Schizosaccharomyces pombe: one gene and its partners. Changing the gene in region 3 together with the main gene of any one other region gives a genetic interaction. Each region holds a gene or a part of one and is shown on either strand. Other genes may lie near its edges.

What was found.
Region 1: mutations in sey1 (region 3) and peg1 together harm fitness more than expected from each alone (negative genetic interaction), as found in Schizosaccharomyces pombe (one large-scale study listed by BioGRID).
Region 2: mutations in sey1 (region 3) and ptp4 together harm fitness more than expected from each alone (negative genetic interaction), as found in Schizosaccharomyces pombe (one large-scale study listed by BioGRID).

Annotation. Positions count from the first base shown.
Region 1 is NC_003424.3:3,155,391-3,158,990, forward strand, and holds the start of peg1 (CLASP family microtubule-associated protein), read right to left. Parts: upstream 1,943-3,600; 5' UTR 1,899-1,942; coding exon 1,850-1,898; intron 1,808-1,849; coding exon 1,740-1,807; intron 1,661-1,739; coding exon 1-1,660. UniProt on the Schizosaccharomyces pombe protein: Microtubule binding protein that regulates the stability of dynamic microtubules. Required for mitotic spindle formation.
Region 2 is NC_003423.3:1,276,311-1,280,144, reverse strand, and holds ptp4 (phosphatidate cytidylyltransferase Ptp4), read right to left. Parts: upstream 1,801-3,834; 5' UTR 1,788-1,800; coding exon 1,712-1,787; intron 1,675-1,711; coding exon 1,436-1,674; intron 1,114-1,435; coding exon 772-1,113; 3' UTR 346-771; downstream 1-345. Other genes in the region: ribose-phosphate pyrophosphokinase Prs5, read left to right, coding at 1-243; mitotic spindle checkpoint protein Mad1, read left to right, coding at 3,086-3,197, 3,248-3,834. UniProt on the Schizosaccharomyces pombe protein: CTP-dependent diacylglycerol kinase that catalyzes the phosphorylation of diacylglycerol (DAG) to phosphatidate (PA). Controls phosphatidate levels at the nuclear envelope. Counteracts the activity of PA phosphatase ned1.
Region 3 is NC_003424.3:974,973-978,806, reverse strand, and holds the start of sey1 (GTP-binding protein Sey1), read left to right. Parts: upstream 1-2,068; 5' UTR 2,069-2,073; coding exon 2,074-2,230; exon of another isoform or gene 2,231-2,272; intron 2,273-2,343; coding exon 2,344-2,418; intron 2,419-2,476; coding exon 2,477-2,562; intron 2,563-2,669; coding exon 2,670-3,834. Other genes in the region: meu13 (homologous-pairing protein 2), read right to left, coding at 170-474, 618-758, 801-902, 950-1,003, 1,050-1,098.

The DNA of each region.
Region 1 (3,600 bases), 2.2 Mb from region 3:
GTATGGCTATAGATGGTGAATGACCAGAGGGTAAAGAGGGTGGTAAGCTAGTAGAATGAAATGCCTGAGAACGAGTGTATGGAAGAACCCTCTCTCTTGAGGCAGGAGTTGCTCTTTGAGGAAGACCTAATCTTCGAGTTCCGGATGAATTAGAAGAATTAGAAGAAGTTTCTTCCTTTTGAGACTTACTGAACGAGCGCAAATTTGACAAAGGACGTATTGGTGCACGCTTAGGACCACTAAAATTAAAAGAAGCAGCTTGACGATTAGGGTTCGCCAAATGTAATTGTTTTAACACAGAAGGTTCAAGAGTGTTAGTCAACTCTTCTTGAACGGAAGGAAAATATTCAGAAAGCTTCCAAAACGATTTTCGATAAACTTCCCGTACTTGAGAATTGGAGTCAGCAAGTCCGCGACAAATCAGTTTTTCAAAAGCTTTCAAATTAGTTTGCAAAGATGCAAGGTTCTTTAACTCGGGAGATAAGGATATCAACATAAAAATCCAATTACTTGAGAAAACGCGAAGTTGAGCATTTGTATCATGAGCTGCTAAAGAGATAAAGGATAAATTTCGCGACAAGACTCCACAATTTACAAGAATGGCAGCAAATGTTACATTAGCGGCTTGAGATGCAAGTTTTTTCGTAACTGAGCAAACTTTTAATAGGTTTGGTAGAATAAGTTCTAAAAAGGGATCAATGTTGCTTTTTAATATGATGGCCATCTCTTTTATCAGTTGTATGGCAGAAGAACTTAGAGTTGTACGCAATGACAACAAAGCCAACAAAATTCCAGGCAAAAGAGTTTTAAGAACTGAAAGTAGTTCTGGAAGATAATCAATACATGCATTTCCCCTTAGATATTGACGAAGTCGCAAAACTGAATCCTGCCTGACCGACCAATTTTGTTCAGTCTCACGACCTTCAAAGGCAGGAAGCATAGAAGCACTATCTTGTTCAAGTTGTTTGGAAAAATTTGCCAACAATGGCTTTACATTCTCCAACTCTACTCCAGGGTAAAGAGTAGCTACGGCTGTCATGAAGGGTGCGGGCTGAAACGAAGATGCTGAATTTTGAACTATTATTACTTCGGAGGAAGACGATATGAGAGACAGCTCTTCCACTAAGCTTTGTAAGATCTCCCTTCGAAGACCCGAGGTAGTTTCAACATCGGTTATAAATTGCATTTTAGCTGAAGTAGATAGATTTTTGTAAATCAGTAACAAAACTTCTTTCGCCTCCTCTCGTACAGAAGGGTTGGCATTTTCTAGGTTTATATAAAGAGCGGGACGCAAAGATTTTACGTCAAAACTGAGATGAGCATTATGTGCAAGGACGAACCATTTGAAACACTGAATTCTGGTTTCGGCACTTTTACTTGTTGTTGAAAGATGTATAAGACTCTTCTCAATTTCAGATGGGTTAAAGTGCCATAAGTCAATTAAGATATTAAGAACACGCTTTTGTAAATCGCGAGAGGCTATGTGATCGATGACAAGATTTTTTAGCATAGGTACGCGAAACTTTAACCATGTAGGATATTGGGCACGTAAACGGCGTAAAAAAGTTTCAAAGCATGCAACAGAAGATCTAAGGAGTAAAGGGTTGACGGTAGTTAAAGCAAGTCTGAAGCATTCCACGAACAAACCGAGATCTGCATTCTACGGCAAAAAAGCATTAGTAAATGATATGAAATTTTCGAAAACTAAAGAATAAACTTCCTTGAAATAAAAAACTTACGGGAATGTTGTTTTTATTAAAGAAAGAGCGAAGGGTATCTAGACATCTCGTCTTTTCATCGGTGGATGCTAATTTGTCAGTATATAGATGAAAGCTTTAGAATTTCATACCATTACTTTTAAGGAACTTTAAAAAATCTTGCGCATCCTTATCCGCCATCAATTACAAATATATTGATGAAACGAGCGAAACAAGAGAAACGTGAAGCGTTGTTTGCGAAGAGAATATTAAAAACTCGCTAGTAAGGAGTTTAAAAAAGAGGGCTATATCTATTACTAAGTAATTGTGTATTTCAAGTCTGGGCATGTGATGCAGTGGTAGCATGCTCGCTTTGCATGCGAGTCGTCCTGGGTTCAATCCCCAGCGTGTCCAAATTTTTTTGTGTTGTAAACACAAGTTTGAAATGATAATAGAAAGAATGATGTTGCCGGAAAAATCTATAGTGCAAGATTAAAAACGCTAAAATTAGTTGGACCAGCAAATCAATGTGCTTGTTATATAGATGAAGTATATAAAGGTGTAAAACTGTTTACTGTACGGGTTGGGTTTGGAAGTAGTAGAGAATGAAGAGTGAGATTTGAAATATGGGATTGATAAAAAAGGCGAAACGTTGAAGGAGAAATTTAAAAGCTGTAAATCTTTACTTTACTACGAAAGTTTAAGCTGTGCGGAAAAATGAATTGATTGAAGATATATTTAATGCTGGGATGGGCGGTAAACAACACTATGGTCCTCTGGCAGTTTGAAAATAAACAATGCAAGGCAATACAGATCCCAAAGTGCACTTCTCTCGTTAAATAAAATAGCAATGGCTAAACCAAATTTACAAAAAGTAAAAATACAAGGAGCAATAACAGAATCGTATACTGGAATGAAAAGGGCAGTTTGAGGCCCCCACATAGTACTTTGGAGGTATTAAAAAAGGAGATTTGTTAGTATATGGAGAGTGGCGCCCACATAGGTCTTTTGGGGACAAGTTGGAGAGATGCAAGTTGGAAGATATGTGAATGAGGAAAGAGGAAATTGGTGGGAATCAACGTGCAAAGCTGAAAGTTAATCGAACAAGAATTTTTGAATTACTAATAATTGTGAAAAAGGAAGAAGGATTTATGGTGTTGTAATAAAGATTTATGATAATGAAATTGTGTTTCTACTCTTAGTATTCATTATTTTAAATTTAGTTTATATGGTTATTCATTTTCAAATTATGGGTATCAATTTTATTTTTATTTTTTTTCATTTTTATTTGATTTTTTTTCATTTATTTACCACTCTATATCGCTCAAAATTGAATATCTGCCAAGTTTTGGACCTATGCGGCATTCTTTCTACGAACCATTCAATTCTTCATACCTAACCCACTATTCATTTCTAACCCATTCTGTCTAAATAAACACAATGATAAAGATTAAACTCTTTCTAATCAAATTGTTGCAAATTCATTCTCAAATCGCTAAACACCAAACATATAAGGGAATAGCGTTCTTTCCACAACCCCCTAACCAAGTTTAACGAAAATCATTAAACACCATCCACTTTGCTATCTTTTGGCGATCCCTCACAAATACACACACTATCTTCTTAGCTGACGATCCTCATGCCGATCCTTGTGTGCGCTACTACTGGTCAAAACGCAACAACCATATCGTAAAAATTGTACATCATTAGTTATTAGTAATTGTTTTGGAATACGAATAATTAATTCTCCAACTCTATTCTTAAAACAACGAATTACACTGTACCGCCTTACATCGAAATTCAGAGGGTAGAACAGGGCAAAGCAAAGCAAGGCAGAGTAAAGCACAGTAGAGAGACAAAGGAGAAAGAGGAAAAATAGCATGAGGAAACACTTTCGCCCGAC
Region 2 (3,834 bases), on a different chromosome or scaffold from region 3:
CATGGAGCTAGCAAAATCTATGCTCTCGTCACTCACTGTGTTTTATCAGGAGATGCTATTGAGCGTGTAAAACTTTCTTGCATTGACAAGCTTATTGTTACAAACACCGCTCCTCAAACTATTACACCAAGTGGATGTTTTGACATAATCGATGTCGCTCCTACCTTTGCGGAGGCAATTCGTCGCATACACAATGGTGAGAGTATTTCAATACTGTATGACCACAATCAAGTTTGGGTTTAACTGTACGTTGTTCATATTATTTAATTTGTTTTGATCTAGTTGGCTTAAGACTATCCGATTTTTTTTGATACTATCAATTGTCCTTTTTCTTTACTTTAACTTTAGACAGTTACATTGGAAATAATTATTATTTACTTTGAGTTGACAAAATGATTATCAAGCTAATTTCCTAAAACTAATTTCAACTTAGCTAATCTCTAGTGTAAAACTGCTAAATATAAGGTTCTTCACGACCATTATATATGTACAAGCTATGTAGAAACTATATAGGCAGTCTAATTGCACGATTTCGTCATGTTTCATACAAAAAGCCTAAAATTGTCTGGGTAATGAAGCTTGTAGGTATTTCTATACATTTTAACAGTATGTACGCATACTGGTTAGACGGAAAAAAGATGAACAATAGAAATGGTGATAAATGGAGGAGCGAATCAACAAAACATAACTATATTCAATAATTTTTCAAACGTGGTCGGGAAAGGACGAATGGAAAAAACAAAAGAATGTCAGTATAAAAGAACATGGTTATCACATGATTAAATATAGTAAACAGGCAGAAACGACAGGAATTACAAGGTTATCGTCAAGACCCCACACATCCATAGCTTCTGCAAAGGCACCAATAAATCCATTTATCAAGCAAAGCCAAGGGAAAGGAATTCTGCTTTGAGCGGCCAAGCTGTCAGGACCGGTACGAAACAAGCCCCAGTACACATAGCAACAAAAAACACCACAAACGAATGCGCCCAAACTTCCAGCCAAACTCTTATTTTTGGCAATTTTCGGGGTATACTTGCCCCATTTTCGACCAACGGTTGAGGCAGTAGTGTCACACCATGACAGTAAAAGGACACTCATTACTGCTATCTCCTGAACTTAGTTAGTAACTATGGCATAATATATAAGTAAAAGAAGAAGGAAGGTGAAGTTAGGAAAAGATCAAGCAAGGCAAAGTAGATTTGAGTAATCATGATCAAAAATACTAACTTAAACTCTATGCAACAACAATATGCTTGGTCTGACAAATACTTAGAATAGAAAATCATTCTCCGTGAAAAAATGGGTTCTATAGAGTAGTATGTCCAGTAAAAAACAAAACCCTTCGGATCGCCTGGAACAAGGAAAACCATATCTTCCTTTTTCTTAAAGAATAATAACAGTAATGATAGACATTACAATGACTTTTACTTACCTCTGGAAAAACTTTTAAAACAATCCATACCCCGATCATATAAAAAATAACACCATTCCATGCATTTTTTTCGGACTCTCGCATCAAAGGACCAATAACGCGATTGTAAAGGCGGCTGAAAGCTGGCCAGTTAAAACGAATTACATCTCCAGTAAATGCAGGTATGAATCCAATTTCTATAACCGGTATGATTTGAGCAGCGTGGTATCCACATCCCTGAAGTAATAGAGCAAAAAATCCTAGACCCGGTTAATCCAAGTCATAAAAACAACTTACCAATAGAAGTATGGAGTGCTTTACGGGGAATTTCATGCTTTTTGGACCATTGCGACCACGTCAATTTAGTCGACATTGGATGAGTATTCGCTCAGTAGTGTTTTCCAATCTAAAGGTATTTCTAATGGGTAAAAAAAAAATAGCGATACCGGCCGTGATGCAAGGAATCGGTATATGCGAGGCAAGGAATGTTCTCGCATATAGCTCACTATTTTTTTATCGTTGCACTATTCCTCCTTATTCCGTAAACATTATGAGCTAAAGTCAAAATTAATAGAATGAATGACTTCCTGAGAGTCCCAAAAGAAACCGATTTATTTCCTTCATCAGTTGGAAAAAATTTATTTATTTATCACTGCCAATATAAGAGCTCGACTTCCTAGATGAATAGCATAGCTTTGAAAGTGATTCGCAGGATGACTCAGTATCAAAACGAATGGGTTATACACTATATGGCTTTAGATGTAAATATTCTTTAGATGATATATTAAGAGAATTAATAACTGCATCGACATACAGCCAATGCAGAATCATTTATAAGTCACTGAACCTTCAGAATAGCGCAACGTGGATTTCGCTACTTTACGAAACTTTAGATGCTATTGTGAGCTCTTACGTTTCGCTTTTTGTTGTCAAATATGGGAGAATTAATTGAAAATATAAAGACAATTCTCAAGTACGCGAAAGTTTCTATTAAAAAGTAAAATGATAACTTGAATATGTATGCTAATAAAATTCCTAAAAGAAACTGAAACCATTTTAGAGCTTATATCATTGCCAAGCAATTTTGAAAATTAAATGCGAAAACCATTATTCTTTAGTTGATGAACTAGAAGTAATAATTTTTATTTAATAATAATAAGTCTGCTCAAAATCAGGTTTATTTTCAGTTATTGGTTAATTGTTCAAATTGAAGTTTTATTAAAAAAAAAAAAAAAAAAAAAAAAAAAAACTATTATAATTTATGTTAAGACTACGTAAGTTCCTTAGGGTACGCGATTTGGTCTAGCAATTTAAATAAATAATAATAATATCAATATAAAAAAACTAGAAGACTTAAAAGCTTTTATGTTCACACGTGCATCGAAAATTGATTAAGGAATTCAACACATTAAATATATAATATAATAATAACAAGGTCTATGATTTAAAAAAAAAGAAAAAGTAATAAGTTCCATTAATTTAGATATCATTAAACAAGTATGTTGTTTGAGCATATGCAGTCAGTCCTACCTTTCTTTAATTCCCTGATTTCAATAAATTACTGAGATGCAATTTGTCCTCCATATTGTCAATATTATATTAAAGAGGTATACCAAAAATCAATTTCTCACTATGAGCTCCAAGCTGACAGTGTATCAAGCGACTACATCCATGGCGGATTCTCCTAGGGATCCGTTCCAATCGCGTTCACAGTTGCCTAGATTTCTAGCAACAAGCGTTAAGAAACCAAATTTGAAGAAGCCTTCTGTTAATTCTGCTAATGGTATGTGAAACTTATATTTGACGTTTGTTTATGGATCTGACACCCTGTAGAAACAAAAAATCCCAAACTAGCTTCTTTAGAATTTCAACTAGAAAACCTAAAAAATGATTTAAAGCGGAAGGAACTGGAATTTGAGCGTGAACAAATTGAGTTGCAAAGAAAACTTGCAGAAGAACATGAACAGAAGAATTCGTTACAGCTGCGTCTAACTCTAGTTGAAAAGCAACTGGAGGAGCAGTCTACTTCTTATCAAAAAGAAATAGAAGAAGTAAGAAATGAAAAGGAAGCCACTCAGGTGAAGATCCATGAACTACTTGATGCAAAATGGAAAGAGATTGCAGAGTTGAAAACCCAGATAGAAAAGAATGATCAAGCTTTAAGTGAAAAGAATCATGAAGTAATGGTCTCAAATCAAGCTTTGCAAATGAAGGATACCAATCTTACAAACCTTGAAAAACTCTTTGCGGATTCCCGCGAACAGCTTGAAACGAAGTGTAAGGAACTTGCGGCTGCCGAGCAGCAATTACAAGAGCTTTCAGTTCATAATCAGCAATTGGAAGAGTCCATCAAGCAGGTTTCTAGTTCTATTGAACTGGAAAAAATAAATGCTGAGCAACGTCTTCAAATTAGCGAGTTG
Region 3 (3,834 bases):
ACAGTATAGCAAGAGGACAGGTAATGTTGTGCAGCAATGCAAGCACATATTAGAGCAGTTGTCTGCTAAGGTATTTATATTTAACTATGGATAATGACTTTTCTTTGAGCTATATAAATTTAATGATTAAAATGTTAAAAAGGGATCAGCTAAATTTAAAGTTAAGTTTTTAGTTTAAGTCAATTGGTCCCTCCGTTTCAAATCCCAGTTTTTCCCATAACTGCTTAGGGTTTTCCAAGGAATCAGTAATTAAATGCCATAAATCATAAAACATTTTCTTTCTGTTTGAGAATCCTTTTTTTGCAAAATCGTAGTTTTTATCAGTCTTTTGCATTGCTTCCTTGGAAATTTGTTTAACGGTACCATTTCGAAGAGATTCGAGTTTTGAGCTGGTTTCTTCAATTTCTTTATCAATGCTCTGAATTTTTTCACGAATTTCGGCTGGACTGAGTGAGTTATTTAAAGCTTGTAATTCTTTTAGAGTTAGCATAAAACAAGTGCTGTGTACGCTCAAAACAAATGAACGATACCATCAATAAAACTTTGATCTGTTTTAAATCATGCATATTATGTGAAGTATCATTCTACATTTTAAAGAATAGCATTTATTTACTGACCAATGCATTTCTCTTTGTATAGAGTTTTAACAACTGAAACCTCATCTTTTAGTTCTTGAATTTGCTTCTCCATTTCAGCCAATTCTTCAGGAGTAGCAGCTGCCAAGTCATCTTGAAGACAAACGAACACACTTTGTTTTCCTCAGTAATCGTTAGTAATCTGTTTAACTAATTTTTCAGTACCATATAGTTTCCCATGGATTAGTCCAGTGTCGCGTAGCTGCTCCAATGCTTTCTGCGCGACCTGTTTACTGACAACATTTTTCAAATTAGCACTAACGTCAGCTTTTAACAAAATTGTCAGCTTCGATTTTTTTAATGTATGTTCTTACTTGCAGAATAGGGACGATTCGTTTTTCGTAAATACTCGTAAACAAGTTTTTCAGCTGCGATTGATTAGCTGAATACCAATGCCTTTTGTCAATATTATACCTTCCTCTCCTTTAATAGGTTTCGCTTTTACTTCTTTCGCCTTAGCCATTTGCTACAATTGCGATGTGTGAGGAAAATAGTAAAAGCGCGATGTAGCATCAAACATTTATATATAATATTTACGCGTGGCGGAGACAACGCGTTTTCCCCAAGCCATTCTCCTTTGTTCTTAGCTAAACTAAGGAAGAAAATCCATGAGAAAGGATTTTAACTATTTTACGCACCTATATAAAGTACTCATAACGATGGGTTGAATTGCGCATCGTGTCAATGAAAGAAGGTTGCATAGGATAGTGAGACATTAGTACAAAGAATTCGATTCCTAAAGCTATGCTAGAAATTTTATTAAATTAAATAATTTCCAACCTTGCGAAGGGCTATATTATAGTATGTTTGTACTTTTTTAGCATATTCGGCAACGTCAAAAACACTTCACAAATTGAATGAAACCGATATCGTCGAATACTACGAAGCGCTTTTGAGAAACGTTTAAGCTACACTCTTGATTTTGCATCTAATACCTATTATTAAGTACTGTTCTCTGTAAACATACAAATCTGTTTCCTTTTTAGAAAAGCACAAATTTCCTGTCTGTAAATGCGATAAGTCTTTGAAGACCATTGTGAAAAGATTCAAAACAATGGCCGAATGACTCTTTAAAATACATTCCTTTCTTCAACTAAATCCTTGGTATTTTCTTTCTTTAAAAATCATAATTTTAACAAGAAAATATATGGAGCTAACAGACAAACATCTGAACATTCGCAGAGTAACTTAGTAAACATTAGAAAGGAAGAGCTAACGAGTGTTGTTATGCCATTGCTAGTTTACTATAGGAAAAGTATCATCTGTTTCATGATATTTATATAAACAAAATTATGCAAAACCTGTCTTTTTACAATAATTTAACTTAAATAGTTATATATTTGTTAATGAATACTGAAAATGTTGTCAGGATATATTACATCCTCGACATCACACTACCTTATATGTTTGTTAACTTGTCTTCCGCTTACACCAAAACATGAGTACTGCTTCCAATAGGGTTTCCACACAAATTGTGGATGAACATAAACAATTCAACAATGAATTACCAAAGTTTATGCAAAGCGTAGGACTGTTAGATGCTGGTTTCAACTATCATGTTGTTGCCGTTTTGGGTTCCCAATCTACTGGCAAGAGTAAGTAGATTAAAATCAACTTGAGAGTTCTATATCCAACCAATGTTATAACATCCTTTTAAATTGGATACTTAAAGCTTTCACTGAGCAAATTTGATTAACTCTATGATTAGGTACATTGCTAAATAATTTATTTGGGACTTCATTTTCAGTAATGGATGCTTCCAAAAGGCAACAAACTACTAAAGGTAAATCTATTATTTCTTTTTAATTAAAACATCTGAGCTTGCTGCTAATTTTTGTTAGGTATTTGGTTGTCGAAGGCAAACAATTCGCCTATTCTTGTAATGGATGTAGAAGGCACCGATGGTAGAGAGCGCGGTGAAGATCAGGTAAGATTTTAATGCGAACTAATTTGTTACTATTAGTTACACATTAGTATTTCCTTTACTCATAATTGATCAATATTTTCTTTTGGAGTCATTACTAACCAACCTAGGATTTTGAAAGAAAATCAGCTTTATTTTCCATTTCAACTAGTGAAGTAATTATCGTTAATATGTGGGAAAATCAGGTTGGTCTATACCAAGGCTCAAACATGGCATTACTTAAAACAGTACTAGAAGTCAATTTACAACTTTTTCATAACAAAAAAGAAAGGTGCTTGCTTCAATTTGTTATTCGGGATTTTTTGGGAAATACTTCAATGGAAAATTTAGCAGATACTATTATGACCGATTTGAATAACATTTGGGCATCCCTTTCGAAACCAGAAGGATTCGAAAATTCCGTAATTAATGACTTTTTTGATGTTGGCTTCACTGGTTTACCACATAAGATTTTATGTTCTGATGCTTTCAGTGAAGCTGTTGATAGTTTGCGTGAAAGATTTGTGGATAACAATAATTCTGATTACATATTTAATGTGAGTTATCATAAAAAAATCCCCGCTGATGGTTTTTCTCTTTATACTCGTGAGATATGGGACACCATTGAAAACAACAAGGACCTTGATTTACCTACACAACAGCAATTGCTTGCTCAATATCGTTGCGATGAGATTATTACTGAAGTAATGGAACCTTTTTCTACTGCTTGTACTATTTTACAAAAAGAGTTTTTACCCGGTAATTTATGCAAGGACCTTCCTACCAAGCTCTTAAACATGTTTGAAACTGTTATCGAAGCTTATGATCGACAGGCTAGTAGATACAACGTGCATATCTATCAAAAGAAAAAGCAGGAGCTTATTGCTTCGGTAGATTCTCATCTTTATGTATTTTTCCAAGCCCAGTTGAACGCTCTACACAAGGAGCTTATTAAATCATTTTTTGACGCCTCAAATGAATTTCCCTCTGATACGCCTTTTAAAGAATCATCTTCTATTAAAATTAACGAACTTGTCAACAAAATGCGTGAGGAAGGTGAATCTTTGTCTTTACCACATGTTCACTGGGATGTTGATCCATTTATTCTAAAATTATCGGAAGAGTTAACCCAAAATTCCGAAACGCTTTGTAAGGAAAAGTTGAAAGAGAAGTTGGAAGAGTTGTTTACTGGGTTCGAGTTTGAAGTTTCGGAAGCTGTTGAGGTCGCTTTCCAAAAACTTTCTCATAACGTTTGGGATACGCTTCTCAATGAATTCTTAGCTGCTCAAAATACTA